Linked DNA regions of Elephas maximus indicus. The protein of the gene in region 1 purifies or fractionates together with the protein of each later gene. This does not show direct contact. Links are inferred from orthologs where the notes say so. Each region holds a gene or a part of one and is shown in the gene's direction. Other genes may lie near its edges. The genes, in order: FBXO22 and KDM4B.

Region 1 (16,384 bases):
ACGGGATGTTGCAATCATTTGTAAACTAATAAAATGATTGGCACAAAGATTCCTTGAGCAAAGGCTGCACAGTTAAATCCAAAAAGATAATATCTAATTTGGAAACTCTTAAAATTTGTTGCCATAGTCATAACATATGGCTTTTACGTTGAGAGACTAAAAGGAACTCTACATATGTCAATTCCTTTATGAAACCTGACTCAAATCAGTGTGCTCTCCATTTTATTGCCTTACCTGAATCAGTCCTGTTTGGTTGGTAATGGATTTTTTGTACACCCACGTTTGATTTAAAAGTAAATTTTAGATGTTAATAAGCACTTTTAAAAATGAACTCCAGAAGCACATTTTTCTGCACAAACCAGTTACAAAGTTGAGAAGCCTTTCTTACACATTTGCTCTGAGATTCAGGTTTTAACTTTGTGAACCTCATCAGAGAGACTTGGCACTTCTGTATTAGTTGTGTGTGTTTTATTTCTTTTGATTCTATTTTGGTTAAGAGGACAGTAGATAAAGATTTTCTGGCTTTCTGGTTCACTTGGTTAAATTTGTATAAAGTTCTGATAGCCAGTTTTGCTCAGATAAGAAGTGACAAGGCAGAACTCTTTAAAGCATTAAAGTTCCTTAAACCTAAGGCTAAATCTTGAATACATTATTGAATTCTTTAATATACTGATGGCTAGCAGATTGACGGCTGCACATTTGGCATGCTTTGTTTTTTTTTTGGATTTTATTTTTCATTGCAGATTTATTTGGCAATGTACAGTAAATTTTGTAAACTTGCATCAAGTTTATGAATAAAGAACCATTTAAAAAATTATTTTGTCATTTTTCCCTCATAAGACATACTCTTTGCTTCAGGAGTCCATAGGCTCTATTGAGTTTCTGGAATAGGACCATTTAAGGTGGGTTTGGGTGAGGAAAGGTTTCCTAGACAGAGTTCTCTACAGGAGCTAAACAAGTGAATTGTATGTGTGTGTATATATATGTATATTTATGTGGATAGAGAGAGATTGGGATTAATTTATTACAAGGAAATGGCTCACACAATTGTGGAGGCTGGCAAGTCCGAAATCCATGGGTCAGGCGTCAGGCTGGAGGCTTCTCCTGACTCATGTGGTTGCAGAAGCTAATGATCACAAAATTGGCAGGTCAGACGGCAGGCTGCTGGCTCGGGGCTGCAGGAGCTGGCAAGTCCCAAAATCTGCAGGTTGGAAGGCAGTCTGCTGGATCATGTCCCAAGAACTGGAGGTCAGAGGATGATGAGTTGGATACAGGATCCAGAGAGGTCAAGCTTTGCCAGAACATCTATATATTGGATGCAGGCCACACCCCCAAGGAAACGCCCCTTTGAACTGAATGGCTGCTCACATCAGATCACAAGATGGAGGATGATTACGTAATATCTGCCAAACCACTGAGGCTCACAGCCTAGCCAAGTGGACACATAACCTTAACCATCATAAGAGGCTTGAGAGGAAGAGAGGCAGATTGACTTAAGAAGAAGAAACTAGAGAATCCAGAAATAGTGTGTATGGACTTGGTATACTTGGGTTTTCCTCAGCCTTTCCCCCTTGCCCACATTCATTCTTAAATATAAATTTAAGTGACTGTCCTTTGTTCCCCACTTTAGCATATCCTCGGCCTCCTTAGCATACAGTTATCAGGTCATGTCACATACAAAAAGTCCAGAGGATATGGTAACTAAAGCTCAAGCAGCAAAAGACAAAATAGATGAATGGGATCTCATAAAAATTCAGTACTTTTGGTACATCAAAGGATTTTATCAACAAAATGAAAAGACAGTACAGATTGGGAGTAAATTGATGAGAACCATGTATCAGACAAGGGCCTAATATCCAAAAAATATATAAAACTTCTATAACAACATTAAAAGAACCCAATAAAAGAAATGGACAAAGGGCTTGAACAGGCAGCTCTTCAAAGAGGGTATTTAAGATGTTCATTAGCCATTCCAATAAACCCACTACCATTGACTCAATTCTGACTCATAGTGACCCCGTAGGGTTTCCAAGGCTGTAAATATCTACAGATGCAGACTGTCACATCTTTCTCCCACAGAAGTTGCTGGTGGTTTTGAACTGCCACCCTTTCCGTTAGCAGTTGATCACTTTAACCACTGTGCCACCAGAGTTCCTTAATAATGGCAGTTATTAAAAAAAAAAGGCAAACAGGAAACAACAGGTGTTGGTGAGGTTGTGGAGAAGCGAATCATCATCCATTGCTGGTGGCAATGTAAGATGGTGCAGCCCCTTTGACAGTTTGACGGTTCCTCAAAAAGTTAAACATAGAACTACCACATGACCCACAATCCCAATCCTAGGTATATATACCCAGAAGAAGTGAAAGCAGGAACAAACAGAAATCTGTACACCAATGTTCACTGCAGCACTTTTCACAGTAGCCGAAAGGTGGCACCTGGAATGTGTATCAGCAGATGAATGGATAAACAAAATGTGGTATGTCCGTACAATGGAACATAAAGCAGCTGTAAAGAGAATGAAGCACAGATGAACCTGGAAGGCATTACGCTAATTGAAATAAGTCAGTCACAAAAGGACAAATACTATATGATCTCGTTTGGTAGGTGCCGTCCAGTCGGTTCCGACTCATAGCACCCCTATGAACAACAGAATGAAGCACTACCCGGTCCTACGCCATCTTTACAATCATGCTTGAGCTCATTGTTGCAACAACTGTGTCAGTCCACCTCGTTGAGGGTCTTCCTCTTTCCCACTGACCCTGTACTCTGCCAAGCATGATGTCCGTCTTCAGGGACTGATCTCTCCTGACAACATGTCCAAAGTATGTAAGACACAGTCTCGCCATCCTTGCTACCAAGGAACATTCTGGTAGTACTTCTTCTAAGACAGATTTGTTCGTTCTTTTGGCAGTCCATGGTATATTCAATCTTCTTCGCCAACACCACAATTCAAAGGCATCAACTCTTCTTTGGTCTTCCTTATTCATTGTCCAGCTTTCACATGCATTATACCATGGCTTGGGTCAAGCGCACCTTAGTCTTCAGGGTGACATCTTTGCTCTTCAACACTTTGAAGTGGTCCTTTGCAGCAGATTTGCCCAATGCAATGCATCTTTTGATTTCTTGACTGCTGCTTCCATGGCTGTTGATTGTGGATCCAAGTAAAATGAAATCCTTGACAACTTCAGTCTTTTCTCCGTTTATCATGATGTTGCTTATTGGTCCAGTTGTGAGGATTTTTGTTTTCTTTATGTTGAGGTGTAATCCATACTGAAGGCTGTGGTCTTTGATCTTCATTAGTAAGTGGTTCAAGTCCTCTTCACTTTCAGCAAGCAAGGTTGTGTCATCTGCATAACGCAGGTTGTTAACGAGTCTTCTCCAATCCTGATGCCCCATTCTTCGTATAGTCCAGCTTCTCGTATTATTTGTTCAGCATACAGATTAAATAGGTATAGTGAAAGAATACAACCCTGATGCACACCTTTCCTGACTTTAAACCAATCAGTATTCCCTTGCTCTGTCCGAACAACTGCCTCTTGATCTATGTAAAGTTTCCTCATGAGCACAATTAAGTGTTCTGGAATTCCCATTCTTCGCAGTGTTATCCATAATTTGTTATGATCCACACAGTCAAATGCCTTTGCATAATCAATGAAACACAGGTAAGCATCCTTCTGGTATTCTCTGCTTTCAGCCAGGATCCATCTGACATCAGCAATGATACCCCTGGTTCCACGTCCTCTTCTGAAACCGGCCTGAATTTCTGGCAGTTCCCTGTCGATATACTGCTACAGCCGTTTTTGAATGATCTTCAGCAGAATTTTGCTTGCATGTCATATTAATGATATTGTTCTATAATTTCCACATTTGGTTGGATCACCTTTCTTGGGAATAGGCATAAACATGGATCTCTTCCAGTCAGTTGGCCAGGAAGCTGTCTTCCATATTTCTTGGCATAGACGAGTGAGCACCTCCAGCACTGTATCTGTTTGTTGAAACATCTCAATGGATATTCCATCAATTCCTGGAGCCTTGTTTTTCGCCAATGCCTTCAGAGCAGCTTGGACTTCTTCCTTCAGTACCATCAGTTCCTGATCATATGCCACCTCTTGAAATGGTTGAAAATCGACTAATTCTTTTTGGTATAATGACTCTGTGTATTCCTTCCATCTTGATGCTTCCTGCGTCATTTAATATTTTCCCCATGGAATCCTTCAGTATTGCAACTCGAGACTTGAATATTTTCTTCAGTTCTTTCAGCTTGAGAAACGCCGAGTGTGTTCTTCCCTTTTGGTTTTCCATCTCCAGCTCTTTGCACATGTCATTATAATACTTGATTTTGTCTTCTCGAGAGGCCCTTTGAAATCTTCTGTTCAGTTCTTTTACTTCATGAGTTCTTCCTTTTGCTTTAGGTGCTCGACACTTAATAGCAAGTTTCAGAGTCTCCTCTGACATCCACCTTGGTTTTTTTTTCCTTTCCTGTCTTTTCACTGACCTCTTGCTTTCTTCATGGATGATGTCCTTGATGTCATTCCACAACTCGTCTGGTTTTCGGTCACTAGTGTTCGTGCATCAAATCTATTCTTGAGATGGTCTCTAAATTCAGGTAGGATATACTCAAGGTCATATTTTGGCTCTCGTGGACTTGCTCTGATTTTCTTCAGTTTCAGCTTGAACTTGCATATGAGCAATTGGTGGTCTGTTCCATAGTCAGCCCCTGGCCTTGTTCTGACTAATGATATTGAGCTTTTTCATCGTCTGTTTCCATAGATGTAGTCAGTTTGATTTCTGTGTGTTCCGTCTGGCGAGGTCCATGTGTACAGTCGCCGTTTATGTTGGTGAAAGAAGGTATTTGCAATGAAGAAGTCATTGGTCTTGCAAAATTCTATCATTCGATCTCCGGCATTGTTTCTGTCACCAAGGCCATATTTTCTAACTACTGATCCTTCTGCTTTGTTTCCAACTTTTGCATTCCAATCGCCAGTAATTACCAATGCATCTTGCTTGCATGTTCGATCCATTTCAGACTGCAGCAGCTGATAAAAATCTATTTCTTCATCTTTGGCCCTAGTGGTTGGTGCGTAAATTTGAATAATATTCGTATTAACTGGTCTTCCTTCTAGGCATATGGATATTATCCTATCACTGATAGCGTTGTACTTCAGGACAGATCTTGAAACATTCTTTTTGACGATGATTGCAACACCATTCCTCTTCGAGTTGTCATTCCCAGCATAGTAGACTATATGATTGTCTGATTCAAAATGGCCAATACCAGTCCATTTCAGTTCACTAATGCCTAGGATATCGATGTTTATGTGTTCCATTTCATTTTTGACGATTTCCAATTCTCCTAGATTCATACTTTGTACATTCCAGGTTCTGATTATTAATGGATGTTTGCAGGTGTTTCTTATTTTGAGTCGTGCCACATCAGCAAATGAAGGTCCCAAAAGCTTTACTCCATCTATGTCATTAAGGTTGACTCTACTTTGAGGAGGCAGCTCTTCCCCAGTCATCTTTTGAGTGCCTTCCAACCTGGGGGGCTTATCTTCCAGCACCATATCAGACTATGTTCTGCTGCTATTCATAAGGTTTTTACTGGCTAATGCTTTTCGGAAGTAGACTGCTGGGTCCTTCTTCCTAGTCTGTCTTAGTCTGGAAGCTCATCTGAAATCTGTCCTCCATGGGTGACCCTGCTGGTATCTGAATACCGGTGGCATAGTTTCCTGTATCACAGCAACACACAAGCCCCACAGTACAACAAACTGACAGACACGTGGGGGATGATCTCATTTATATGAAATAAATACCTAGAAACCAAAGATTACTAATGGTAACCAGGTGTGGAAGGGAGGGGAGAAGGGAGAGTTTTTTGTTTGTGGAGGTCATCGAATTTATCTTAATGGTGGTAGAGTATTTTGGAAAAGGACAGTGGTAACAGTGGCACAACATGAAAAAATGTAATCATTGTCATTTATTGTAAATATGTAAGTTGTATTGGTGAATGTTGTGGTGTGTATATTTTCACCACAGTTAAAGTCCAGAGACAGGACTCCAGGCATGGTGTACGTAGGCTGTGTTCTCCTCCTTTGAGATTTTTCCATGTTGATTCATCCTTGGATTGAATGTCATGTTTGGGTGTGCCTTACTAAGTCCATAGATAGACAATAGTCCTCTTTCAGTATCTCTTTAGAAGGTGTGGAAATCTTTAAAAGTCCCACCTCATCAAGCACACTGCCCCTCACTTCTTGGCTAGAACTGGGGCCTGTGTCAACCCCTAAACCAATGGCTGGTGAAAAAGAATGTGAGACCATTATGATTAGTTTGGATCATTGGTTCTCAAAGTATGATTTGGGAATCACTGGGAGACATTTTCAGGGGGTGTGCAAAAGCCAAATCGATTTTCATAACCTAAACCATTATTTGCCTTTTTCACTCCCATTCTTTCACAAATGTGCAGTGTAGTTTTCCAGACTGCATAACTGTGATGAGAAGTCTCTGGGTGGTGCAAATGGTTATGTGCTGGACTACTAGCTGACAGGTTGGCAGTTCAAATCCATCCAGAGGCATCTCAGAAGACAGGCCTGGCAATTGACTTCAGAAAGGTCACAGCCTTAAAAACCCAATGGAGTTCTCTGTAACACAATAGGGTTACCATGATTCAGAATCGACTCCATGGCAACTAGCAAGAACATGCCGTGATATTGCAAAAGATTGAGTTCAGAAGCAGATGAGAATCCAGCTATTTTCCATTATCCAGAAATTAGAAGAATATGAAGTGATACCACACTATTCACTATTTGTGAGTTGTGGAAATGGTTATTTTTCATAAAATTGTTTTCCTAATGTGTAATGAATTTAAGATATATTTTAATTTTTAGTATGGTAAATATTGATAGAATAACCCACATAAACAGAAGTTCTTAGTGGGTATCAATATTTAAGAGTGTAAAGGGATGCTGAGGTCAAATTGAGAACCACTAGTTTAGACCAGTGAAGGTTATCCTCAAGAACTGGGGAACAAATGAGGGATGTTAACAAAGCAGCCGCTGGAGTAATAGATGTTAGGTGGGCAAGTGGCAGTGCTTACTGTGCTTAGATTCCTTTTATCTATGGTTCTCAACTTGAGCCGGCATCGGAATGACTGACCGAAACCCACTTTCCTCGAGTGCATTTTCACTCAAAGTGACCCCATAGGGTTTCTCTACAGAAGCCGACTGCCACATCTTTTTTTGCGAGGAGCCACTAGTGGTTTAAGTGGCGACCTTTAGGTTACCAGTGGGTGGCTTTAACCGTGATGCCACCAGGGCTCCTTAGAATGACCGAACCAAAAAAGAAAGAAAGAAAAAAAAAAACCAAACCGGTTGCCCTCAAGTTGGACTCCCAGTGACCCCATTGTACAGAGTAGAAATGGCCCATACAGTTTCCAAGAGCACCTAGGTGGATTCCAGCTGGTGACCTTTTGGTAATCAGCCGTAGCTCTTAACCAGTATGCCACCAGGGCTTCCTAGAATGACCGACGAGGTACTTCAAACACAGTTTCTGATTCAGTAGGCCTGGGGTGAGGTCTGAGAAACACGTGAAAACTTAAAAACAGGTGACTCTGATGCTGCTGGGGAGGAACCAGTGTAGTTTGGGGCGCGCTTTCACAGACATTACCTTTCAGGCTGCCTCAGAACTGCAGGTGCCATTTATGCCATTTTATGTGTTAAGGACATGAGGGCTACAACAGTGATTTATCCAAGTTCACAAGGTGTTGAATAAGGGCAATGAGGAACGCAGCCATAGACTCAAGCCCAAGTCTTCATACCCTAAATCACTTAAAGCTGAAAACTGTCCAAAAATTGGGCACATGCTATTTAACAGTCTTTGGGACTGTAAAGACCAATTCTACCCCGTCCTTGTCTTCAAAAAACTGAAAATAAAAACTTAAACGCTGCAAGTGTAGCGAGAGGCACATAGGGAACAGTACATATTTTGACTCCGACAGCATAAAAGACCTCCAGGAAGGTTTCCGGCGGAACCTCCCAAAGTAAGCTAGCTCACAAAGTCCAACACCGGAAACCTGACGGCCGGACTCACGTGGGCGCCTTGCCGCAGCCACGCCTTCCCTGCCTGGCCGGAAGTGACGTGCGCGCCCGCCCAGAGCTCGCCGGCTGGGCGGTCCTGTGCCAGCCTAAGCAGGTCCCTCCAGGCCGCCGTAGTGCTTGCCACGGGCGGGTTGGGGAGCAATGGAGCTGGTGGGCGGCGGCCGCGGCGATTGCCGCAGCTCCTGCTCCGCAGACCCGCGAAGCACCTTCGTGTTGAGTAATCTAGCGGAGGTGGTGGAACGCGTCCTTACCTTCCTACCCGCCAAGGCGTTGCTGCGGGTGGCCGGGTGAGGACAGAGGAGGCGGGACGCTTGCCTCAGGACATGCCGCAGGCATGCTCAGGCCGGCGGGGTGGGCTGAGACCACTGGGACCCAGGGGTGCCCCGGACCCCCAGCCCTGCCCCGAGGCGACGCCCCCACCCGCCTGGTACCCCTACCGAAGGGCTCCCCGAGGGGACTTTTCCCTGAGGGGCGAAGTTCCCGTTAAGGTTCCCCGCGTCTGGCTCTTCCTCCGAACTAGCGCCCAGACACCTGTCTTCCTCGGGAACTTTGGAGCTGGCAGGGGTCTTCGGCTGCTGCACTTGCGGGTGGGGGTCTGCCGGCAGCGGAGGAGGTGGAAATGAACGTCAGTTCGCAACCTCTTGTGCATTTGCGTCCCCAGCGTATGCCGCTTATGGAGGGAGTGCGTGCGCAGAGTGTTGCGGGCCCATCGGAGTGTGACCTGGGTCTCTGCGGTCCCGGCGGAGGCCAGCCATCTGGAGGGGCACTGCTTGGTCCGCGTGCTAGCAGAGGAGCTTGAGGCAAGTAAGAAGGGGTGTCGTGCACAGTAGGGTTGTTGGGACAGCTTTTGGGAACTAAGGTTTTTTTTTCCAATTGCAGTTTTGTTTATGGCTTTATTTTTTGTAATGCAGGAAACGTTTTCTCATGCCGGGAAAGACTGTAAACATCAGTTTTAACAGTTGTATATTTGTGCCGTGATGGTTTATTTGACTCTTTGAATGTTGGAAAATTTTGAGTATCCAGATTTTCTGTATTATAATAACGGTGCGCAGAACTTTCCCTTCACCGCCTTCCGTTGAAGCAAGTATCGCTGTCGATTTTGCAGGAAAGGCAACTCTCTTGCACCGGGTCAGGCAACCAGAAAGCCAAGACACCCAAATAGTTCGACTACCAATCAAATACCCTTGTGTATTCTATCTCTGGGCCTCAGTTTCAAAAAAGGAGACAATGTCTAGTGAGGGGAGTGTAAAAACTTGGACTGTGAAGTCAGAGGGGCAGCCGCTTGAGCACAAGTGAGAGTGAGGCTCTGGTATCTCACCTGGGAGTGGGAGGGAGCCATTTGAGAGTAAATTGCCAATCTAATGCTCTGTCACTCCCTCGTTCTTTAGTATGTATTATGTACAAGGAAGAACATTGTACATAAGTACAATACAGCCATCAGGATGGAGATTATTATTGATACATTTCTACCATATCATTCTTAGACTCTGGTCAAATTTTGCCGGTTGTCCCAGTAATGGCCTTTATAATGGCTTTTATAATCGCCTTTGATCTGGAACAGTTTCTCAGGCTTTCTTGACTTTTACAAACTTGACACTTAGGAAAATTACAGGCCAGTTATTTTGTAGAACATCCATCAATGTGGGTGTGTCTGAAGACTCTGGTTATTAGATTCAGATTGTGCATTTTGGGCAGGAATATCGCAGAAGTGTTACTGTGTTCTTTGCATCCTGTCAGTTGGTATATGATTTCCATTTATCACATTATTGGTGCAAATTATCTTTGATTACTGGATTAAGATGGTGTTTTCCAGGTGTCTCTACTATAAAATTACTCTCTACTGCAATAAGTGTTTTGGGGTGAGACACTTTGAAACTATGTAAGTAACCCATTTTGTTCTAGTAGCTTCTCTTAGCGACCCTGTAGGACAGAATAGAACTGCCCTGTAAGGTTTCCAAGGCTGTAATCTTTACAGAAGCAGACTGCAGCATCTTTCTCCTGTGGAGGCTGGTGGGTCTGAGCTGCAGACGTTTCAGTTAGCAGCTAAACCGAAAGATCTGCAGCTGAGCACTTAACCACTGTGCGACCAGGGCTCCTGAAAGAACTTTGTCTGTTTATTTATTTATATCTGTTTATACTCTTGATCTCCTATTTTATTCAGTAGGATATGATCTTTACTATTAGCATTTATTTTGGTGCTCAAAATTGTCTCCAGTTTGGCTAGTGGGTGTTCCATCCATCTGGCTTCAATACATTTTAGAGATGAGTCTGTCATCTTTGAGCACTTTATTGCATTCTTTCACGAGATGGTCTAAGTTTTGCTAGCCTTAGTCCTAGAATCAGCAGTTTGTGCAAGGAGTCCTGGATTTTTTAGTGGAGAATGGTATTTAGAAGTCAAAACCTGGATGCAAGATACACTCATTGGTGTTGAGAGGTTTGCTGCTCCAAAGACCAGACAGGAATATATGTATATGTGTACATGCGTGTGTGTATAAACATGTGTATAAACGTGTATATAGATATAGTTTTAGTCATTTAGTGCTGCTGTAACAGAAATACAAGTGGGTGGCTTTAACAAAGAGAAGTTTATTTCCTCACATTAAAGTAGGCTAAAAGTCCAAATTCAGGGTGTCAGCTCCAAGGGAAGGTTTTCTCTCTCTGTCGGCCTTCTCGTCAATCTTCCCCTGGACTAGGAGCTTCTCTGTGCAGGGCTCCCAAGTCCAAAGATGTGCCTTGCTCCCCGTGCTGCTTTCCTGGTGGTGTGAAGCCCCCCTCTCTGCTTCCCTTTCCTTTTTGTCTCTTGAGAGATAAAAGGTGGTGCAGGCCACACCCCAGGGAAACTCCCTTTACATTGGATCAGGGGTGTGACCTGGATAAGGATAGTATTACAATCCCACCCTAATCATTTTTAACATAAAATTACAATCACAAAATAGAGGACAACCACACAGTACTGGGAATCCTGGCCTAACCAAGTCGACGCATGTTTTTGGGAGACACAATTCAATCTGTGACATATATACACGTTTACAACTTTATCTCTATATATGTAAATTAATGAGTTCACAAATGTACATCCAGTTCTAATCCAACGAAAATTTCTTTCTAGTGTTTTCTGTACTCATATTTGTACCTCCCTTCCGGACAGTGAGAAGTCTGGCTTCCGTGATTCTTAATATATATTTAGATATTAGACTAATCTCCTGCATGTAACCAGTCTTGTTGTCCTTCCTTGTGTGAACAGAGCCCTTAGATGTCAGGGAGCTGGTCAGTATCCAGAGGCAGGCTTGCAGAAAACTTTGTTCTGGTACTTTGACCCAGGTCTGCCTGGTCCATTTTTAGGAGTTTGTCATTTAAAAAAATTAAAAATTTAAGCAAAGACTTTTCCATAAAGATGTTCTTTGGAGCATCATTTATAACAATCCAATGTTTATCTAATAAAGTCATTAAGTGACAGATTGCAAGGTACATTAATGATGAGGGGAAATGTAGATTTTATAAATGAAAAAATAGATGATAAAATCATACGTTTAGTATAATCTGAAATTATTTAGAACAAAAAGGAAAGAATAGGAAAGAAATAAGTGAGAATGCTAACATACATTTTCTTTGGGCATAGAGTTTTTTTTTTTTTAAGTGCTTCTTTAAACTTTTTGGGGTTTTGTTTTTCAGATTTTTAATCACAGCAGGTATTTTAATACAGCTTTAAAGGCTGACACATTGTAATGGCTGCTGTAGCCAAATTTAGGCTTTGGCACATACTAGCTGTATGACTTTGAAAAAGTTACTTAATTACTGTGAGTCCTAGGTTCAGCTCTGTAAAATGAAATAGGAAAAAAAAAGGTAATTTCCCTTACACTCTTACATAGAGTTTTTGTAAGAATTAAATCATGAGTAGGTAATACATGTAACACATTACCTGTAGTACCAGGAATGTAATATTTTTAATTAGTGTTACTAAATATTCTTTATTATTGATATTATTAAAATTCGTATAGTAATACCATTTTAAAAAGACTGTACATTGTAGTAAACTCTAGCTTGTGTGAGATTAAAAACGTAGAAATCCTACTCAAATCGTACCTGCAGTTTTCTTTGTGTTTTCCAAAATTATCTATAGTGGACATGGTACTTTTATAGCCATAAAAAAAAGTTTTAACTACCCCCCTCCGTTCATTTTTTTTGTAAAGTTTATTTTGTTGTTGAGAATATACACAGCAAAATATATACCAATTCAACAGTTTCTACGTGTACAGTTTAGTGACGCTGATTATATTCTTCGAGTTGTGCAACCATTCTCAGCCTGCTTTTTTAAAAAAAAATTTTATTGTACATTTGGTGAAAGTTTACAGAGCAAATTGGTTACCCACCACCCTCCTTTTCTGAGTTGCTTCTCCCTCATTAACATAAACCCACTGCCCCCAGGATTCCTATCTGATCTTTTGAATTGCTGTTGTCAATTTCATCCTATATAGATAGTTCCTAAAAGAGCATAATGCTTAAGGCGGATCTTTTTTTTACTAGTTAAGCTAAACTGTGGTTCAATTTTAAGATGACTTCAGGGGATATTTTTGGTTTAAGGTTTAAAGATTTATTTCAGGGCAGTAGTTTTAGGGGTTCATCCACCCTCCATGGCTCCACAAAGTGTGAGTCTGTGACGGTTTGAAATTCTCTTATGTGTTTTCCCCCTTTTGATCAGGATTATGCTATGTAATCTTTGATTAAAGTGTTCAGTAATGGTAACTGGGCACTACCCAGCTTTTATGGTCTCATGACAAAGGAGGCCATTGTTCACAGGGGCAGTTAACCACATATTCTACTTCCTTCACCTATTCCTGACTCTTTCTTTGTCTGTTGCTCCAGTTGAATAGAGACCAGTTGTTGTGCCTTGGATGGCTGCTTGCAAGTTTTTAAGACTCTAGGCACTATATGACAAACTAGGAGGTAGGGCAGAAGCGCTAAAAATATTACTAGACCATTTAACTGGGATGTCCTAAGAAACCATGACCCTAAACCCCAAACTAAGGAACCAAGTCCCATGAGGTGGTTGGTTATACATAAGCAGCCTCGGCAGTTACTCTATTTTTTTGTCATTGTAGATGTATCACATAGCTTTTGCCAGTTCAACTTTTTACAGGTGTACAACTTATTGACAGCAGTTACAGTAATTGACTGTGCAACCCTACCCTTAATCAGTACGATTTTTCTATCACTGTTAACCCCTGTCTAAGTCATCTAGTGCTGCTATAACAGAAATACCACAAAAGGATGGCTTTAACAAAGAGAAGTTTATTCTCTCACAGACCAGTAGGTTAGAAGTCCGAATTCAGGGCGCCGGCCCCAGGGGAAGGCTTTCTCTCTCTGTCAACTCTGAAGGAAGGTCTTTGTCATTGGTCTTCCCTTGGCCTGGGAGCATCTCAGAGCAGGAACCTCAGGCCCAAAGGATGCTCTCTACTCCCGATGCTGCTTTCTTGGTGGTATGAGGTCCCCGTGTCTCTCTGCTCTCCTCTCTCTTTGCTATCTCAGAAGAGATTGGCTTAAGACCCTACTTAATCTTATAACCTTATAATCAGTATAATTGCTGCTTGTCTGTCTCATTACATCATAGTGATAAGATTTACAATATATAGGGAAATCACATCAGAAGATAAAATGGTAGACAATCATACAAGGGAATCATAACCTAGCCAAGTTGACAGATATTTTGGGGGGACACAATTCAATCCATGACACCTCCTTTTTCTCTCTCCCTCCCACCTCTGGTAACTACTAATAAACTTTGTTCTGTATACATTGGCCTTTTCTTGTTTTTTTAAATAAGTGAGGTCATATAATATTTGCCCTTTTGTGATTGGCTTATTTCACTGAGCCTAATATCATGGAAACCTTGGGGGCATAGTGGTTAAGTGCTACGGCTGCTAACCAGAAGGTCAGCAGTTCACATCCACCAGGCACTCCTTGGAAACTCTATGGGGCAGTTCTGTTCTGTCCTGTAGGATCGCTATGGTTCAGAATTGACTGGACAGCACGGGTTTGGTTTTTTTGGGTAATGTCTTCAAGCTGTATCCATACTGTAGCATGTATCAAGATTTTACTTCTCCTTTTTTAACTGGCCAAGTAGTATTCCATTGTGTGTATGTACTACATTTTGTTTTTCCATTCATCTGTTAATGGGCATTTAGGTTGTTTCTACCTTTTGGGTATTGAGAACAGTGCTGCAATGAACATTGGTATACAAGTTTCTTTTTGAGTCTCTACTTTCGAGTCTTCTGAGTATATACCCAGGAATTTTTTTTTTTTTAATTGTGATTTAGGTGAAAGTTTACAGCACAGATTATTTTCTCATTAAAAATTTATATACAAATTGTTTTGTGATGTTGGTTGCTTTTTTTTTTTAATTGTAGTAAAAATACATAACAAAAACATTTGAACAGTTTATGAAAGAAGACATTCTGGTGGCCAAAAGACACACGAAGAGATGCTTGCTATCATTAGCCATTGGAGAAATGCAAGTCAGAATTACACTGAGATGCCATCTCACCCAGCAATAATGGCATTGTTCAAAGAAACAGAAAACAACAAAAGTTGATGAGATTGTGATTGGACCTCTTACACACTGCTGGTGGGAATGTAAAATGGTACGACCACTATGGAAGAAAGCACGGTGCTTCCTTAAAAAGCTAGAAATAGAAATGTATGATCCAGCAATCCTACTCCTAGGAATGTATCCTAGAAAAATAAGAACTGTGACAAGAATAGACATATGCACATCCACATTCATTGCAGCTTTATTCACAGTAATAGAAAGATGGAGACAACCTAAATGCCCATCGATGGATGAATGGATAAACAAACTGTGGTACATACACACGATGCAATACTACGTAATGATGAAGAGTAATAATGAATCCGTGAAACATCTCACAGCATGAATCAATCTGAAGGACATTATGCTGAGTGGAATAAGTCAGTCACAAAAGGACAAATAAGGTATGAGACCACTATTATGAACAGCCAAGGAAAGGTTTACATACAGAAATAAACATTCTTTGATGGTTACCAGAGGTGGGAGGGGGAGGGAGGGAAAATCACTAGCTGGAGGGTAGGCACATGTTAGCTTTGGTGAAGAGAAAGATGGTACACAATATGGTAGGCACATGTTCGCTTTGGTGAAGGGAAAGATGGTACACAATATGGGGGAAGTCAGCACAATGTGACCAAGGGAAGAGAAGACACTGAGAGGTACGCAGGAATAAAAGACGATGATGATAAGTATAACAGTCCTGCAACAACAGTAATAACAATTTTTGAGTGGATACATAGGTAGCTATGTATGCTGAATAGGTGTGGGAGGGTGTATGAGTACATGCGTATATAGGTTTGGCTGTGGATATTTCTAAATATTTGTATGCACAGCATGTAAATTCATATACATAATAGAAGGCACAAGGGGCATGGTCGTTGGAGACATATTGGACATAACCAAACCTTGTGGGACAGAGTCACTGTCTTGGGATATCTAGGTCAGTCAACTGGCATAACATAGCTCATACAGCCTACTTTGGTAAGTAGCTTTTGGGGTTTTAAAAGCTTGCGATCAGCCATCTAAGATACAATTATTGGTCTTTTTCCGTCTGGAGCAAGGTAAAGTGAAGAAAACCTAAGACATGAGGAAACAATTATTCCAAAGGACTAATGGACCACAGGAAACACAGTCTCTGCTAGCCTGAGACCAGAAGAACTGGATAGCGCCTGGCTACCAATACTGACCACTCTAACCAGGATCACAATAGAAGGTGTCGTTTAGAGCGAGGGGGGCGGGGGGGAGTAGAACAAAATTCATATTGGTAAAGAAGACCAGATTTACTGGTCTGAGAGAGACTGGTGGGATCCCTAAGACTATGGCTTATATAAGCACCTTTTTAACTTGGAACTGAAGCCAACCTCGGAGATGACCTTTCAGCCAAATGATAGGCCTGTAAAATAAATAGTAACACCCACAAGAAAAGTGCTTCTTAGGACAATCACTATATGAAACCAAAAGGGCAACATCTGCACAAAAGCGAAGATGAAAAGGCAGGAATGGGCAGGAAAACCAGACAAATGGAAGTGGGGGACTCAGGGTGGTAATGGCGAGAGTGCTAACATGTAGTGGAGAATGCGATCAATGTCATGGAACAATTTGTGTATAAACTATTGAATGGGAAACAAATTTGCTCCGTAAACCTTTATTTAAAGTACAGTTAAAAAGATGCCAGCTCAATTTTTGCGTGTGTTATTCAGTAACAAT
Region 2 (16,616 bases), on another chromosome or scaffold:
CTTAAACGTGTAGTTTTCTCCACTCCCCTAAAAAGGTTTGTCTTCCTCGTCCCTTTTTTAATCTATAAATTTTCAGGAATCTATGTGTTACGGCTCAAAGAAGAAAGTTGGACTCGTCCGTATTTTGTTTTTAAACAGAAAGCCTGCAATTTTTCAGCCAAAAAACTTTTTTAAAACTTTTTTTTTTTTTTAAAAGATGGCATTGCATATTATTTCTCGCGAAGGGTGCCTACGTTCTCAACAGCAAGTTCTCAGAAGCTGCTGCCACCGAGTAAAGACGGTGGCTCGGCCACGCCGCCTGGAACAATCTTTTCGAGGTTTGTGGGTTTGGCCCCAAAGGTCCAGCGCATCTTCCCGACAGCGTCGTAGCGGACAAAACCCTGCACAGTGACTCCTGGTGGCGGGCCTGGGCATGGCCGTGGTCCAGCTGCCCACCACGAAGTGGCTGTGGGTGTCGCTTTCAGGATAAGAGGAGACACGGGATTGAGCCCTGCGTAAACTCGCCTTCTATAGAAGCCATCCCCTACCGGTTTGCTTCTGTGGTAAGGAGTCCACACACAGTGCGCACAGTCGGGCACTACAGAAACTACCTCCGCGGGACCCCCGTTAGCATCGGGGCCGGGCATCTGGCCGCACCGCCTGAGCCGGAGCCACTCGGAAGCCGACGAACGCACAAAGCCATGTCCAAGTGCCTTTGGGTCTTTTTTTTTTTTTCCCAAGATGGGGGCTGTTTGTTAGCACTGAAATGTTGAGATTGCCAATCACAATCGAAAACTGTGGTTGACCAGTTGTTCCTGAGGCTGGGAGGGTGTGGGGACGGTTTGCATTTTACTGTTTGACATGGAATTTTCAGCTTGGCAATGGGGAATTACAAGAGGGATTTTTTTGTTTTTGTTTTGGAGGGGGGATACTTTTCCTAAATGAAATTTTTTTGTAGTTACTGTACATGTATCAAGAAAGATATAACTTAGGGTTTTCAGCCGTTGTGTGTAATTTTTTAATTTTTGAAATAGTTTGTTCATTTTTCTAACTTTACCAAAGTTTGCAGCTTATACCTCATGTAACAGGGATATTTTAATATCAGATAACTGCAGACAAACTGGAGTGCGATATTGTTTTAAGAGGTTTTTTCTTTTAAATTTTTCTTATGATTAGGTTGTTAATGTATCCGGGGGGGGGGGGAACAAAACAGCAATCGTGGGTAGGCTTTTTCTGAAATGTTGAACATTCTTTGTCCGAATTTTAGATCCTCAGAATAAATAAATGTCTTTTACAGACGCAGTTGCTCATGTCTTCTCATTGCAGATCGCTTTGTAGCTTGCTGTGCACTTTTGTACCCATTATTTCGTTTCTTTTCATGTAAATTCCTGCCTCCCGTTTTACAGATGACAACACGGAGATCCAGAACTTCAGAAGTGGTGGGTGACAGCTCGTGGCCAGTGCATTCTGACTGCCAGCTGAGGACATGTTGAAAAAAACCAGTTGCCACGGAGTCAACTCTGACTCACGGTGACCCCGTGTTTGTCACAGTAGAACTGTGCTCCACAGAGTTTTCAGTGGCTGTTTGCAAAAGTAGACTTTCAGGCCTTTCTTCCGAGGAACCTCTGGGTAGACTTGAACTTCCAACCTTTTGGTTAGCAGCTGAGTGCATTAGCCATTTACGTCACCTGGGGACTGAGGGACTCCAGGAGATTTTGGTCCTTCCCCTTTCCCTTAACAGTTTTGAGCAAGGGTCGGCAAACTACAGCCCAAAAGGCCAAATTTGTTCCACTGCCCATATGCTCCACGCTGGGTTCTGGGCCCGTATTTTGTAAGTAAAGCTTTATTGGCACACAGCCATGCTCATTTATTTACGTATTGTTTATGGCTGCTTCCTGCTGTAACCAGCAGTGTTGAGTAGTTGTGACAGAAACCGTCTGGCCCACAAAGTTAAATGTATTTACTCTGTGGCCCTTTACAGACATAGGCTGCTGACCCCTGCTCTTTCCAGCAGCGCGGTCCAGTAGAACTTTCTTCAATGATGGAGAAATTCATGGAGCCACATGTAGCTGGCAGCTTCCGTATTGGCTGGTGCGGTTCTGGCGAATGGGGTGTATAATGTCTAGAGTGAAAACTGCCAGCTCTTAGGAAAAGCAAAAGCCTCTAACTTTGCAAAATGGGGCATGTGGAACTTTCTAGAATCGTACTGTCGGCCAATCTGTTTCTAGTGATTCAGAGTCTTTCTTCCCACTTTTTTTTTTTTAATTAAGTATTTGTGAAACTTACGCAGAAGTAATCACAATATCGAGCATATTTATTTCCTGAGTTTTTTTTTTTTTTTTTATAATAACTTTTATTAAGCTTCAAGTGAACGTTTACAAATCCAATCAGTCTGTCACATATAAGTTTACATACATCTCACTCCCTACTCCCACTTACTCTCCCCGTCTTGAGTCAGCCCTGAGTTTTTTTTTTTTTAATAACAGCCTTATTGAGATGTAATTCACGTACCATGTAATTGACCCATTTAAAGCATACACTTCAATGGCTTTTAGTAAATTCGCAAGGTTGTGCAGTCATCATCGATCCCTGATCCAGAACACTCTCATCCCCTTTAGAAACCCTGTACCCGTCAGCAGTCCCTCCCCACACCCTCGTACCCCCAGCTTCTGGGAACCGCTCATCTTTGTCTCTGCGGATTTGCCTGGTTTGGACACTTCATATCAGTGGAATCATACAGTATGTGGCCTTTTGAGCCTGGCTTCTTTTGCTTGACATAATGTTTTCAAGGTTGCTCCGTGTTGTAGCGTGTATCAGTGCTTCATTAGTTTTCATGACTAAATAATATCACATCGTATGGCTGCTGTTTCTGCTGGGTGCAGTTGAGTAGATTTCAAGTCACAGCCACTGCACGTGGTAGAGTAGAACTGCCCCATAGGGTTTCCTGGGCTTGATCTTTACAGGAGCAGATCGCCAGGTCTTTTCTCCCGCAGAGCTGCTGGGTGGGTTTGAACCGCTATCCTTTTGGTTAGTAGTCAAGCGTTTAACCGTCATGCCACCAAGGCTCCTATTGTATGGGTGTTCCACATTTTATTCTCTTGGTTGACTCTTTAATGTAAATTTTTTTTCCTTCCCTCCACCTCTCCCAGGTTACCAAATGAATGCATGTTCCTTTTAGAAAACTTGGAAACTGAATATGTGAAGGAAAAAGTCAAAACACACAATCCTGCCACCCAGAGGGTTAACATTTTGATGTACCTTTGTTCAGGTTTTATTGTATATGAGTCAGTGTTTGTTAGGTACCTATGATGCGGCGGCCATTTTGCAGATGAGGAAACTGAGGCACAGAGGGGTTAAGTGGTTTGCCTAAGGATGTGGCAAAGCCAAAGTCCGTATTATTTCCATGTACTTGTTTTATATATTTAGATTCGAAGGACTAAATGAGGGTGGGACTATATATGCCACTTTGGGCCCTGTTTTCTTCTGAATACAATGTTTAAGTAGCCACATTGTCTAGCACCATTGCAAACAGACGTGACCTGTGGTCTTGGTGGATGCATACTTGCATATATCTGTGTGTCAGTGTGGAACATAATACCCACGTGTGTCTAGCAAAGTTTGCTTGGAGTCAGATGGAATGTTAGAATTTCTCCCCCAATGTATTTTTTAACACATGAGAAAATGTATCTTTTCAGCCATCCTTATTTCTTATGTAGTGGACCTACCCTTAAGCAGGAGGGGAAACTTGGTACAGCACTAGATGTTTCTTGGCTCCATGTTTTGCCTGTCTGGTCAGGTGAAGGATGAGGCGGGGTCATGAGCTGGGCTCTGGCTCTGCTGACCAAGGGGCCCTTGGGGGTCAAAGATGAGTGCCACAGAGGCTCCTGGCTTGGAGAGATCCCCAATCACAATGCCCTGCCCGTGGAGACCAGAAAAAGCAGGACGTTTAGGTGAGTTTCCCCCCGCCCCCCCGCTTTCCCCAAGTTAATTTGTCCATTTAAAAATTCTGAGTGTCCTTCCTACTTTTGTATGTTGTTAACTGCCGTTGAGTCGGCCCCCAACCCATGGCAACCATCCCTTTTTATAGATGCCTGAAATGACAGGGACTATAGTTTTTTCCTTTTCAATATGCAAGTTTTCAAACAAGTTGAAAGAAGTGTATAGTGAGCACTCATATACCCACTATCTATACTCTACAATTGTTAATATTGTTTATCACATAACGGTGGTTGTGAGCTGCCATCAAATTGGCCCTAACTCATGGCAACTCAACGCATGACAGGATGAAATGCGGCCGGGTCCTGCGCCATCATATTATACCTATTGCCTTCGAGTAGATTCTGACTCAGTGACCCTACAGGACAGAGTAGAACTCCATAGAGTTCCCAAGGATCGGCTGGTGGATTTGAACTGCCATCCTTCTGGGTAGCAGCCATTTAGCTCTTAACCACTGTGCCGCCAGGACTCCCTGCCGTCATATTAGATGCTGTTAAAAAATGTCTCCCTAAACAAAATCAGAAAGTTGACAAGCTATTTTGGTCTCCCAATTAAAAAAAAAAAAAATACAATTTGAGAGTCTGTGAAATCCAAACATGTGGAATTCAGTGTCTTAATGGATAAACTTAGAAGTAGAAAAAAAAGGCTTGTATGGGGGAAAATCCATTATTGTACTTTTGATCATGACTGCATTCCATTTCTGCCTTCCCCGTTGGATAGGGGGTTCCTTGAAGGTACCCACTATTTCCTGTTTTTAAAATTAAATTTTTTAACTATATGGGGACTATGTGAACATGGTCCCATAAGAATTTAAAACATCAGAGAACAGATTCGAGTCCCCTCTGACTACCTCTTTTTACCAATTTGGAACTCTTTCCCTTCTCCCCAAAGGTTAAATTACTCTGTGCATTTACACCCTTGAACTCTGAGAAGCCACATGATATTGGTTCATGTGTATTTGTTTCCATGAAATGTATCTTGTTGAATACAAAAAATCTGGGTATTTCTGCAGCTTGCTCAACAACATGCCTAGGAGTTTACTCCATGACACTACATAGAGGTCTGCCTAGTTTTCAATTGCTACATAGTTAAGTATTTGAGTAAGGTATGTCACAAATTGTTTACTTCAGCCCCACTGATGGATATTTAGAGGAGAACACTGGAAACAGTTGCAAACAGGGCTGTGCAGCAAACTTTCTCTGGAGGAAGAACCCTGGGTTGTCCTTGCCATCAAGTTGGCTACAACTTACGGCCACCTTGTGTACAGCAGAACAAAATGTTGCCTGATCCTGCACCATCTATCTCCCTGATCATTGGTATGTTTCAGTCCATTGTTGCGGCCATTGTGTCAATCCATCTCCTTGAGGGTTTTCTTCATTTTTGCTGACCCTCTGCTTTACCAACCATGGATGTCCTAGAGGCTGATCTTTGCAGATGACGTGTCCAAAGTAAGCGAGCCAAAGTCTCACCATTCTGCTTTCTAAGGAGCATTCTGGTTGTATTTCGTCTGACTTGTTTGTTCTTTGAAACTTAAACTGTTATAAGAAAATGTCAAATGATCCAGAGTGGCTGTACTGAGTTATACTCCTGTATAGAAATGGGTGACCACACCCTTGCCTGGCCCAACTCACAGTTAACAACATTGTTATTACTACTACTAATTTCAATTCAATGCTTACTACGTACAGCCACAGGGTCAAACCCTTTACCTGGGTCATCACACGTAATCCTGGCAACTTTCCCAGGAGGGGGGCGACAGGCCACACTACCGTCAAATCCATTTCACAGAGCAAACTGAGGCCCACTCACAACGAGGGGTGGGGCCCAGGTCTGAAAGCACCAAATTTATCACCTCCCATAATTTTTTTTTTTTTAGGGAACTCGGGAAGGGGATCTAACTTTATTCCAACCACCTAGCCTTTTGCAGAGGTTTGTTCATTGTGAGGGAAACGAGCCTGCCGGGGTTGGGGCGGGGGGTGTTCGCTTGCTTCACTTCCTTATTTCTCAGTTCCCCTTTGCAAAATAGGTTCGTTGGTACTTCGCAAATTGCAGCCCAATATTCCGGCTGCGGGTCTCGAACCCTCCACTCCGCGCTTCCCCGGCTCGGTGCTGATGTTGTGCGGGGTCTCACGTACTCAGCGGCCGCCTGATAACCAGGGCGACTTGGCAGTGATTGGCACCTGCCCCAGACAATCCGCGCCTCGGGCTGACCCCGCAGCCAATGCTCGCTTCTCCCGTGCGGCCGTTGGGCGGTCCTCGAGGCGGCCTTGTCAATCTGAGGCTTGCCTGCCGTCGGACTGGTCCCAATCTCCTTGGCTGGCGGGCGCCGCCTCCAATGAGAGCCTTGCCGGTCAGCAGGCACGTGGGTGGGCGCCGGCGTGTCCCTGCCGACCGACCAATGGGGACGCGATTCCGGCAGCTGCGCCCGCCCAATGGAGGTCCGCGGCGGGTGGGCCGTGCGTTGTTGATGGGCCCGGCGGAGGGGAGGGGCGGAGCTGTCAGCGGCAGCCAATGGGCGCGCGGGCGTGGGTTGGCGGACCAATGGCAGCCGGGGCGGTGCTGACGCTCGGCCTCATAAGCCCCGCCCGGGGCGCTCCGGAGGGCTCGGCCGCCAGCGACCGAGCGGGGCCCGGCCCGAGCGGGGCCTGGGGGTGCGACGCCGAGGGCGGGGAGCGCGCGCTGAGCTCCGCACCGGGTCGCACGCGCCGCCTCAGGTGAGCCCGCGGGGAGGCCTCCGCGCCGGCCGAGTGAGCGAGCGCGGGCCCGTCGCCGCCTTCGCCCCGCGCCGCGGCCCGGGGCTGCGGGCGCGCCCGGCACTCGAGGCCCAGGCCTCGGGCGCGGCCTGCTCGGGCCCGGCCGCCGCGCTTTGTCCCGGCCCGCGGGGCCGTTGGGGGCGTTAACTGCCCGGGCCAGGGGGGCCGGCCGGGGCTGCGGCGGGGGCGGCGGGCCGCACAATGGCCGGGCGCGCGGGGCGGGGGCGCCCCTTCCCGGCCGGGGCGCGGGGGGCTGGGCACAAAAGATGACAGCGTGGGTGGCCCGGCCCGGCCCTGCGCGGGCCCTCCCCCTTTAGGATTTAGAACGATCCCACTCATAATAAAAAAACCCACCCAGGCCATGGTACGACCCGCCTGCGCTTCCAGCCCCCTTGGACACCAGTGGGATTAATGGGGGCGCTTCCCGGCCTCGACACCCAGGGGCATCCCCCAAAATCCATCGGTGCCCCCCAGCCCCTCCGCAAGACAACCTGTCGTGTCATCCCAGCTTCCAAACTTGCCCCCCCACCGCCGTCTCCGTGAGCCTTCCCTCCCCTCCCCCTAATAACCATGCAATCTGGAGTCAAAAAAATGTGTCTCCTCGCTGTGCAATAGCAGCAGCTCCAAGACGTGTCCCCCGGTCCCTCCCCCTCGCAGCCCGATCGCCATCTCGGAGCCCCTGCTCTGTAGAAAGAAATCAATCCAGGAGTTGGTCTTGGCGGCGACCCCTTTGGCTGTCCCATCCGTCGACGCGGGGGCGAGGGGATGGATTCGTGCTGAAATGGATTTGCCCTGTGTCTACCTGGGCTGGGGTTTGCTCGCGCTCAGGGGGCGCCCGATGACATAAGTTAGGAACATAAGGACTAGCGGGGTGCATGTCCACCTGGGCAGGGTAGAAGGTTTTGTAGGGGTTTTTTCAAACCTGAGAGAGAGGCAGAAGGTGAGGACTGTTTTTGGTGTGTTCCATCTGTTTGGTTGGGGCGGCGGGGTGCTTTTGTTTTAACAATTCAGGTGCACCTGGGAACTGTTTCCTGAGTTATGAAACTAGTGGGAAGGTGGTTCTGCTCAGTGGAGCTGAACGATCCTGTAACATGTAAAGAGTGTGCTGTTCCATGTGTTTCTGTCAATATTGGGTCAGTGAGCGTGTTTGGGACCCACTGGGTACCAGCAGTGTCTCAGGTTCTGAGGTCATTGTTCTGTGCGTGGAGTGGATTTGCACTCATGGTGACCCCATGTGACAGAGCAGAACTGCCCCACAGGGTTTTGTAGGCCCTAATCTTTACGGAAGTAGATTGCCAGATCTTTCTCTTGCGGAGTCGTTGAGTAGGTTTGAGCTACCAACCTTTTGGTTAGCAGCCAAGCTCATAACCCTTTTCGCCACCACGGCTTCTGGTTCTGAGGCTGTTGTATAGTGCTGCCAAGTCCGTTCCAACTCGTAGTGACCTCACGTGATCGAGTGCAGCTGCTCCATGGGGTTTCCTAGGCTGTAATTTTTATAGAACCAGATCTCCACATCGTCTGCAGAGCTGCTGGGTGGATTTGAACCACCAACCTCTTGGTTAGCAGCCAAGCTCTTAACTGTTTGTGCCATCAAGGCTCGAGGTTCTGAGGATACTGGGGTGCACTTAAGAGGCTGGTGCCTTGCCCTACCCCTGTGCCTCAACAGCCATTTATCCGATGATCCCCAGGCGGAAAAAGCTCCTAAAACAGCAGCAGCCTTAAAACCTGCTCATTAGATGACTCCTATGGGCTTTTATCACGGCCATGCGAGAGCTAATGAATCCCTTAATTCTCAAATAATAGCTTCCTTATGAGGCATCGCGAGAGTTTGTCAATAGACCGGTCAGCTCTTTTGCACCACCCCTCCAGAAGCAGTGGGCAGCTTCCTAGCAGTTTGCTTTTTGAAATCCCGAAGGACAGAGCGTCACAGCTGGAAGTCAACTTTTGAGTCTGAGTAGAGAATTTCTAAAACTCGCTGTCCCTTTTTGAGTTGTTGATTGGACACATGGCCAATACCGGGCTGCCCACTCTATACGTCTGCAATACGCCGAAGGTCAATGTGTTCTGCTCTGCTGGAGGTCACCTCTGGGGAGGAACGGGGCGCTGGGGGTGCGGTCGCATAAATGCCCCATCGTGTCACGGGTGCTCTGATGGAAGGGTGTACTGTGTCAGCTGTGTGGGTGCACACGTGTCGTGTGTAGTCGTTAATACTTGAATATACGCAGGTCTAAGCCACCGTTGATCTTCATGTATTTTCTAATCCTTTCCTCCTTGGGAAGTGGGCTGCTAAGGAGATGTTAAATACTGGAGCTTAAAGGTAGAACGGATCACTTGGTCACTGTTCCACCCCACCCCCCTTGTTGTTCTTCTCTGTCCAGTGGAAAAGACCCTGCCACAGTGCCTGCTCCTTCCTCAGCTCCATCCCATCCTGAATGAGCCCTCTAGGGCGGCCAGGGGCCTCACAACCTGCTTGCCCCTGCCTGTACTCGGATTTCTAATTTCTCTGCCTCCTTTGCCTGCTCTGTGCCCTGTCTCCTCCCCCGGATGGGTCCAATAGATACTTGGCCTTGGGGAGACTGTCTATCCCTTGGTGCCATCTCACACCTGTGAGAATGGACGTTGGCGTCACTCACCTACCTGGCCTGAGGATGTTGGGAGGGCGTGTTCCCAACCTCCAGGGGCTTCAGGGCTAGTGGGGGAGAGGGAGAGGTGGGTACCCTGGAGTGTGGTCCCAGCAGTAATGGCTGTGGAGCGTCCACTGTCCCCAGGGGCCCAGCTTAGGGAGTGGACGGGTCGAGGTGGCGGGTGGGGAGGGGCCAAACCAGGAACAGGTGGCATTTCTGGGTGGCTTTCTTCCTGTGATCCGGAAGCGTGCTGCGTGGGTTCAGAGCTGTGGGCCACGCAGACCCTCCGTGGTCACCGCCATGATGGGAAGGCCTGGGTTATCTCTTTCTTTCTCATGCCGACCCAGATCCTGGGGGGAGCTGGAGAGTGGGGCTGGGGGTGGGGGAGGGGTGGAGCTGAACTCAGGCTTGGTTCTGACCTGGCATTCCTCGCCCACCCTGGCGTTTCTGCCTGCTCTCCACTCCTTGCCACAGACTCCAGAGTCTCGGAGACCTGGGTTCGGATCTCTCCTGTGGGCCTCACTTTCCTCATCTATGAAATGGGTGTAAGGCCAGCATCTCCCTCATAGGTTGTCATGAGGATCTAAGGCTATAAAAGTCATGAAGTTCTTGCAGGGTGCCTGCCTCCTGGTGAATGGTGGCCATACCAGAGTGCTGAACCCTGGGGCAATTTAGTGCTGCGGCCTCCTAGCCGCCTCCACGGGGTTTCCCAGGGGATCCTTCTCTGCGGTGGGGATGTCCTGAACACTGTAGGGCGTTGAGCAACATCCCTGGTTTCCACCCACTCCATGCCTGTAGCACCCGCCTTCTGAGTCGTGACAACCACAGATTTCTCCACGCACTGCCCCAAGTGAGAACCACGAATTTACGCCTTTAACCCTGCGGCAGCCTGATAATTTGTCGCATCCCCAGTCTCAAACTTCTCAGATTCCTTCGCTCGCCGCCCCCCCCATCCCCTGCCGGCTCCCCAGCCTTCAGTTGCTATTAGTTGCGTTCTGGTTGGTGTGAAACATCACCGGTCCTTGTTTGTTTGTAGTTGCCCAGTGGATTCTGCTCATGGACCCGTGTGCTGCAGAGTAGAACTGATACATAGGGTTTTCCTAGCTGAATTTTGTTTTGTTGAAGTTTTATTTACTTTGCTGTTGTTGAGAATATACACACCAAAACACACCAGTTCAACTGTTTTTCCATGTACAATTTAATGACAGTGATCACATTCTTCAAGTTGCACAACCATTCTCACCCTCTTTTTCCCAGTTGTTCCTCCCTCATTAACATGAACTCACTGCCCCCCTGAGTTTCCTGTCTCATCTCTGGAGTTGCTGCTGTCAATTTGATCCCATAGAGATAGTTCTTAAAAGAGCGTAACGCTCAAGGCAGACCTTTTTTTTTTTATTAGTTAAGCTAAACTGTTGTTCCGTTTTAAGATGATTTTAGGAGATATTTTTGGTTTAAGGTTTAAAGGTTATCTCAGGACAGTAGTTTCAGGGCGACATCCACCCTCCATGGCTTCAGAAAGTCTATAGAGTCCATGCGCATTGGGAATTTTGTTCAGCATTTTCCCCCTTTTGATCAGGATTCTTCTATGGAATCTTTGATCAAAATGTTAGTAATGTAGCCTGGCGCTGCCCACTTCCAGTCTCAGGGCACTGAATTCTTAACAGAAGCAGGTGTGACAGACCTTTCTTCCGTGGTACTGCTGGGTGGGTTCGAATCGCCTGCTTTTCAGTTAGCAGTCAAGTGCAAACTGTTTGGATCACCTCGGGGTCCTTCAGGAGCCCTGGCGGTGCAATGGTTAAGCACTTCCTTCTCAGAAGAGAAGACCTGGTGATCTGCTGCTGTGAGGATTACAGTCCAGGACACCCTATGGGACAGTGCTGTGTAGCATAAAGTTGCTGGGAGTTGGAATGGACTCGGTGGCAAGCGGTAACAGCAACAACAGCAGGGGCCATTCAGTAGCGAGTGGGTCATATTTGCGACTTGGCCTGGCTTTCCAGTCTCTTCCCAGTGGTCCCTCTGCCCTTCCCAACCTGCAGCTTCCACCCCAGCGGGGAGAGGGGCAGGCCTGTGGGAGAGCCTGTGCCTACCCTGACGTCCACCCGGCCAAGGGACAGTGGGCGCGGGGGGCTTCCCCGGCTGTTCTCAGCCGCCTCACCCCGCGGGCCCCCTGCCAGGCTCCTCTGGCTTCCCTGAGGCAGCACTTCCTCTTCCTCCCGATCCCTAGAAAACCAGTGTTGGTGGAGCTGACTGTGACTCACGCAGCCCCATGTGTGTCGGAGTAGAACTATGGTCCACGGGGTTTTCAAAAGCTGCGTTTTTGGACTTCAATCAGCAGGCCTTTCTCCCAGGATGCCTCTGGGTGGGCTCAGACCACCAACCTTTTGGTTAGCAGCCGAGTGCGTTCGCCATTTGTACCACCCAGTGACCCCCTCAGTCCCTGTACTCTTGTCTTATCGATCGGCTTAACGGTTTTCTTTGCATTGGCTTCAAGGTGTTTACTTGTTAGTCTCAGCCTCTCGCTGAGCGGTGATTCCGTGAGTCGTGCGACTGTTACTGTGCTTGTGGCAGATCCTTCTACTGATGCACGTTAAGATGAACTTAGAGATATTAAATATTTTAAGAAAGAAGTTGCTATCACCTCAAATACTGAGGCCTGAGCTCATCCATGAATTGATTTTTTGTGTGTGTGAAGAACCGGTTTTTGAGTTGGAGTTGAGTCCCCGCTGGACTTGGCCTGTTCTGGGATCTGCTTGTTGGTTAGATAAGGTGTCCCAGCTAGTCTGGCTGTTTTCACTCCTGCTGCCTCAAAAATGGCCTGCCCTGCTCAGAACCTTCCCATGGCTTCCTGTTGCCCTTGGAGAAAATTCAGACGCCGTCTGTGGCCTGCTTGCTCTGTCCTTCGTGGCCCTCTCCTCTCTTCTTTACCTACTACTTCTCCCAAGGGTGCTCCTTGCCAGCCATAACCACCTTCTGACCTGCCTGCCCTTTCTTGCATCAGGGCCTTTGCACATGCTGTTCCTTCTCGCAGAATGCTCTTCCCTCAGGCCACTATCCAGCCGGCTCCTTGTCATTCAGGTCTCAGCTTGGAGGCCTTTCTTGACCACACTTTCAAAAGTAGCCCCTCGGAGGGGAGATGAGAGGGTAGAGGGGGTTAGAAGCTGGCGAAAAGGACACGAAAAGAGAGAGTGGAAGGAGAGACCAGGCTGTCTCATCGGGGGGAGAGTAGTTGGGAGTGTGTAGCAAGGTGTATATGGGTTTTTGTGTGAGAGACTGACTTAATTTGTAAACTTAAACCATGATAAAAATTATTAAAAAAAATAAAAAAGAATAATGAACTGTGAGAAAAAAAAAAAAGTAGCCCCTCCAATCACCATCTCCCCCAGTTCTGCTTTTTCTTTTTCCGCACTTAACATTGCCAGAAGGTATATTAGCCTGGTTCTGTATTTATTGTCTGTCTTATCTACTCCAGGAGACTTTTCTGTAAAGGTCTAGAGAGTAGTGTTATCATTTTGGCTTTGCAGGCCAGATGGCCTTTGACCTGACTCCTGCCTCTGTGTTGTGATGTGAAAGCAGCCACAGACAACACGTAAATGAGTGGACATGCCTGGTGCCAATAAAACTTTATTCATGGATGCTCAAATCTGAATTTCATATAGTTTCACACACCATGAAATATTTCTGTGCTTTTGATTTCCCCCCTCAACCATTTAAGAACGTCAAAACCATTTTTAGCTTGTGGGCTGTACAAAAACAGGCGGCTGGCCAGATCTGGCCCATGGGCCGGAGTTTGCTAACCCCTGCACTAGGGTGTAAGGTCCACAATACAGAAACGACACCTGCGTTGGTTGCTGTCTGTACACCCAGTGCCGAGGGCAGTTCTTGGCACGTAGTGGGTGTTCAGGAAAATGTTTGCTGGCTGCATGGGTGAATTTCCCTCTTTCCCACTCCAGAGCATTTAGGGTAATACTGTGTGCTTTAGAAAACAGGCCAGGGCTGTTGACCTTTCATTTTACCTGTATGTTTACTTATGTCTTAAACTTGGTTGTTCTTGTTCCTCAAAGGCAAGGGTCTTTGTGTTTTTTCCCACTGATATACCCCGAGTGCCTTTATCAGTGCCCGGCATATAGTAGGTACTCAATAAGTATTTGTTGAATGAATAATTGCTCTTAGTGTACTAAAAAGGTATAAAAAAGTTGCTTTTGGAACAATAAGGAAACACTAGTTTAAAAAAAAAGCCTTGAGTTGTGTTGAGGGAAATTAAAACTGCAGAGAATGTACGAGAATGCTGTTACCACATCTACCAAAACACCCTCATAGTAAAGGAGGAAAGAAATAGACATAAATGAGGAAATGTATTTTGCCGTTTGGGATGTCCTATTTTTCATTGCCTTTGGGTTCACGCTGCCCCTTTCTGCCTCTCTCTGCTGAGCATCGGAAGACCCGTGAGGTGTACGTGTGACCCGTGGAGTCTCTTTTGACCTGGCAGTGGCAGAGCGCTTAGAAGGAAGAAAATATTTCACAACCACTTGGTTTTGTAAGCCTCTGTTATGAATTGAATTGTGTTTCCCCAAAATATGTGCTGTAAATCCTAGCTTCTGTGCTAGGATTTATATATAACCAGATTAATATGCCTTCTGTCAGTATTAAGTGCAAGATAGACCTAAGTGTTAAAAGGCAAAAATGTCACTTTGAGGACTAAGGTGCGCCTGACCCAAGCCATGGTGTTTTCAGTCGCCTCATATGCATGTGAAAGCTGGACGATGAATAAGGAAGACTGAAGAAGAGTTGATGTCTTTGAATTACCGTGCTGGTGAAGAATATCAGATATACCATGGACTGCCAAAGAATGAACAAATCTGTCGTGGAAAAAGTACAGCCAGAGTGCTCCTTAGAAGGAAGGATGGCGAGACTTCCTCTCACATACTTTGGACGTGTTATCAGGAGGGCCCAGTCCCTGGAGAAGGACATCATCCTTGGTAAGGTAGAGGGTCAGCGGAAAAGAGGAAGACCCTCAACGAGATGGATTCACACAGTGGCTGCAGCAATGGGCTCAAACATAGTAGGACTGTGAGGATGGCACAGGACCTGGCAGTGTTTTGTTCTGTTGTACATGGGGTCGCTTTGAGTCCAAACCGACTCTGTGGCACCTAACAACAGAACAGCAATGACCCTGGTTCTAGTCCCATTTGGGAGTGGGTTGTCTTTGTTATGTTAATGAGACAGGATTAGCACAGGATGTATCATGAGTCAGTCTCTTTTGAGATATAAAAAAGACTAAAAAGTCTAGAGAAGCAGAAAGGGGGTAAGACAGATGCCAAGCCACACATAGAGGAACCAGGAAACAAAAGCTGAAGAGGCAAGGACCTTCTTCCAGAGCCTACAGAGACAGAAAGCCTTCCCTTGGAGCCGCTGCCTTGAATTTGGACTTCGAGCCTCCTAAACTGTGAGAGAATGAGTTTCTGTTTGTTAAAGCAAGCCACTGATGGTGTTTTTGTTGTAGCAGAGCTAGATAACTAAGACGGTGTCTGAACCATCCTCTACCAATACCAGTGCTCCTGCTGAAAGTAGTGTTGTCATTCCGGAAAACTCCGTGGCTGGCTGACTCCTAACGTCTCTACAGGACAGAGTAGAACTGTCCCATAAGGTTTCAAAGGAGTGACTGGTGGATTTGAACTACCAACATTTTTGCTTAGCTGTCGTAGCTCGCTGCCGTGCTTAACCGCTGCACCATTGGGGCTCTGCGGTCATCCCAGGAGGTGGCTTTTGCAGTCTCCTAGTCACCTGCAGGAGTCCCTGGGTGGTGCAAACGGTTAAGCGCTTGACTACTAGCCGATAGGTGGGTGGTTCAAACTCACCCAAAGGCACCTTAGAAGACAGGCCTGGCAGTCTGCTTCTGAAAGGTCACAGCTTTGAAAACCCTATGGAGCAGTTCTACTTGACACACATGGGGTCGCCAGAAGTCAGAGTTGACTTAGTAGCAACTAACCATAACACAAGCCGTCTGCACAGGAACACTCACGAGAGAAGTCGCTTTCGTGGGTGCTAAGATTCAGCTGTGGGGTTGAGCGGAATGACGGACAGCCACGCTGGACGTGGAGGAACTGTGCACACAGCCTGTAGCTCGCCTTGCTCCTCCACCGTGGCTTTCCCGAATAAAGACTGCCTGGCGAGTGTTTTCCAAGCCACGTATCCCGCTAGGAGGTGTCTAGGGTGTCTCTGAGATGTGGTGCCGACTCAGGAATGTTCCTACTTGTCCAGAAAGCATACCATTCATTTATGGTTTTCTTTTTTTGATTGAAATAAACAATCTGGAGAAGGTTGCTCAGTATTTCTTGGCTTTCAAAAGTTGTGTCTTTTTTTTTTTTTTTCTCTTTTTTCCCCTTCACTTGCTTACTTGTCTTCTTTCTTGCTTCCCTGTATTCTTTCTCTTGACTTCTTGCTCTCTCGCCTTTCTTTCCTTTTATTAAGCCATCCCGGTGATGTCTGTGAACAGGAGAGGGTTGATTAAAAGCTCCTGTTAAGCTGTCTTTATCAGATGCTGCCATTTCTGTCTGGTCCCTCCTTGCCCCACGGGCAGGGGCCGTGCCTTCGAGCAGTGGTTGTTGTTGTTAGGTGCTGTCAAATCGATTTTGAATTCACTGTGACCTTGTGTGACGGTAGGACCGTCCCATAGCGTTTTAGTGGCTGTAATTTTTACGGGAGCAGGTTGCCAGGTCTTTCTCCTGCAGAGCTTCTGGTGGGTTCGAACAACTGACCTTTCGGTTAGCAGCTGAGTACTTAATGACTGTGCCACCAGGGCTCCTTACTTGGCAGCGGCAGGAGCACACAGTTGTTCTGTAACTCTGGGTTGTGGTTATCGGATAGATGGCTCAAGTACGTTTGTTCAGTGGACAAAGAATAAGAGTCAGAAAGCAAACGGCCTATGGCTGCTGCGCCCCCAGTGGACCTCTGGGTACGGAGTTGAACTATAACTAACTTAGGCCTTAGCAGCGAGCCTGGATGGCGAGCTGTAAACGTGACACGTCGGCGTCGCAGTCAGGGCTTGCCCTCATCACATGCCCTTTCTGTGTTTGCAGTGGGACCCGCAGGTGGCGGCCTCTGGGTAGGTGGGGGTGGAGGTGGGCCCCCACTCTCGTTGTCATGCCGGGCCCAGTGTGGAAACCTGGCACCTGAGGTGTCTCGGGGGAGAGACTGGAGAGAAACGAGTCGTGTGAGAGGAGGTAGCCGGCGATTCAGAGCTGCACTTTGTGAGAGAAGTAGGCAG

What was found.
Region 2: the proteins of FBXO22 (region 1) and KDM4B purify together in Homo sapiens (affinity purification with western blotting; 3 studies listed by BioGRID, with this or other methods). This does not show direct contact. The link is inferred for Elephas maximus indicus from reciprocal best matches to the Homo sapiens genes FBXO22 and KDM4B.

The regions. Positions count from the first base shown.
Region 1 is NC_064831.1:67,692,344-67,708,727, reverse strand, and holds the start of FBXO22 (F-box only protein 22), read left to right. Parts: upstream 1-8,173; 5' UTR 8,174-8,235; coding exon 8,236-8,381; intron 8,382-8,755; coding exon 8,756-8,894; intron 8,895-16,384. UniProt on the Homo sapiens protein: Substrate-recognition component of the SCF (SKP1-CUL1-F-box protein)-type E3 ubiquitin ligase complex that is implicated in the control of various cellular processes such as cell cycle control, transcriptional regulation, DNA damage repair, and apoptosis.
Region 2 is NC_064821.1:8,035,256-8,051,871, forward strand, and holds the start of KDM4B (lysine-specific demethylase 4B), read left to right. Parts: upstream 1-6,567; 5' UTR 6,568-6,689; intron 6,690-16,616. UniProt on the Homo sapiens protein: Histone demethylase that specifically demethylates 'Lys-9' of histone H3, thereby playing a role in histone code. Does not demethylate histone H3 'Lys-4', H3 'Lys-27', H3 'Lys-36' nor H4 'Lys-20'.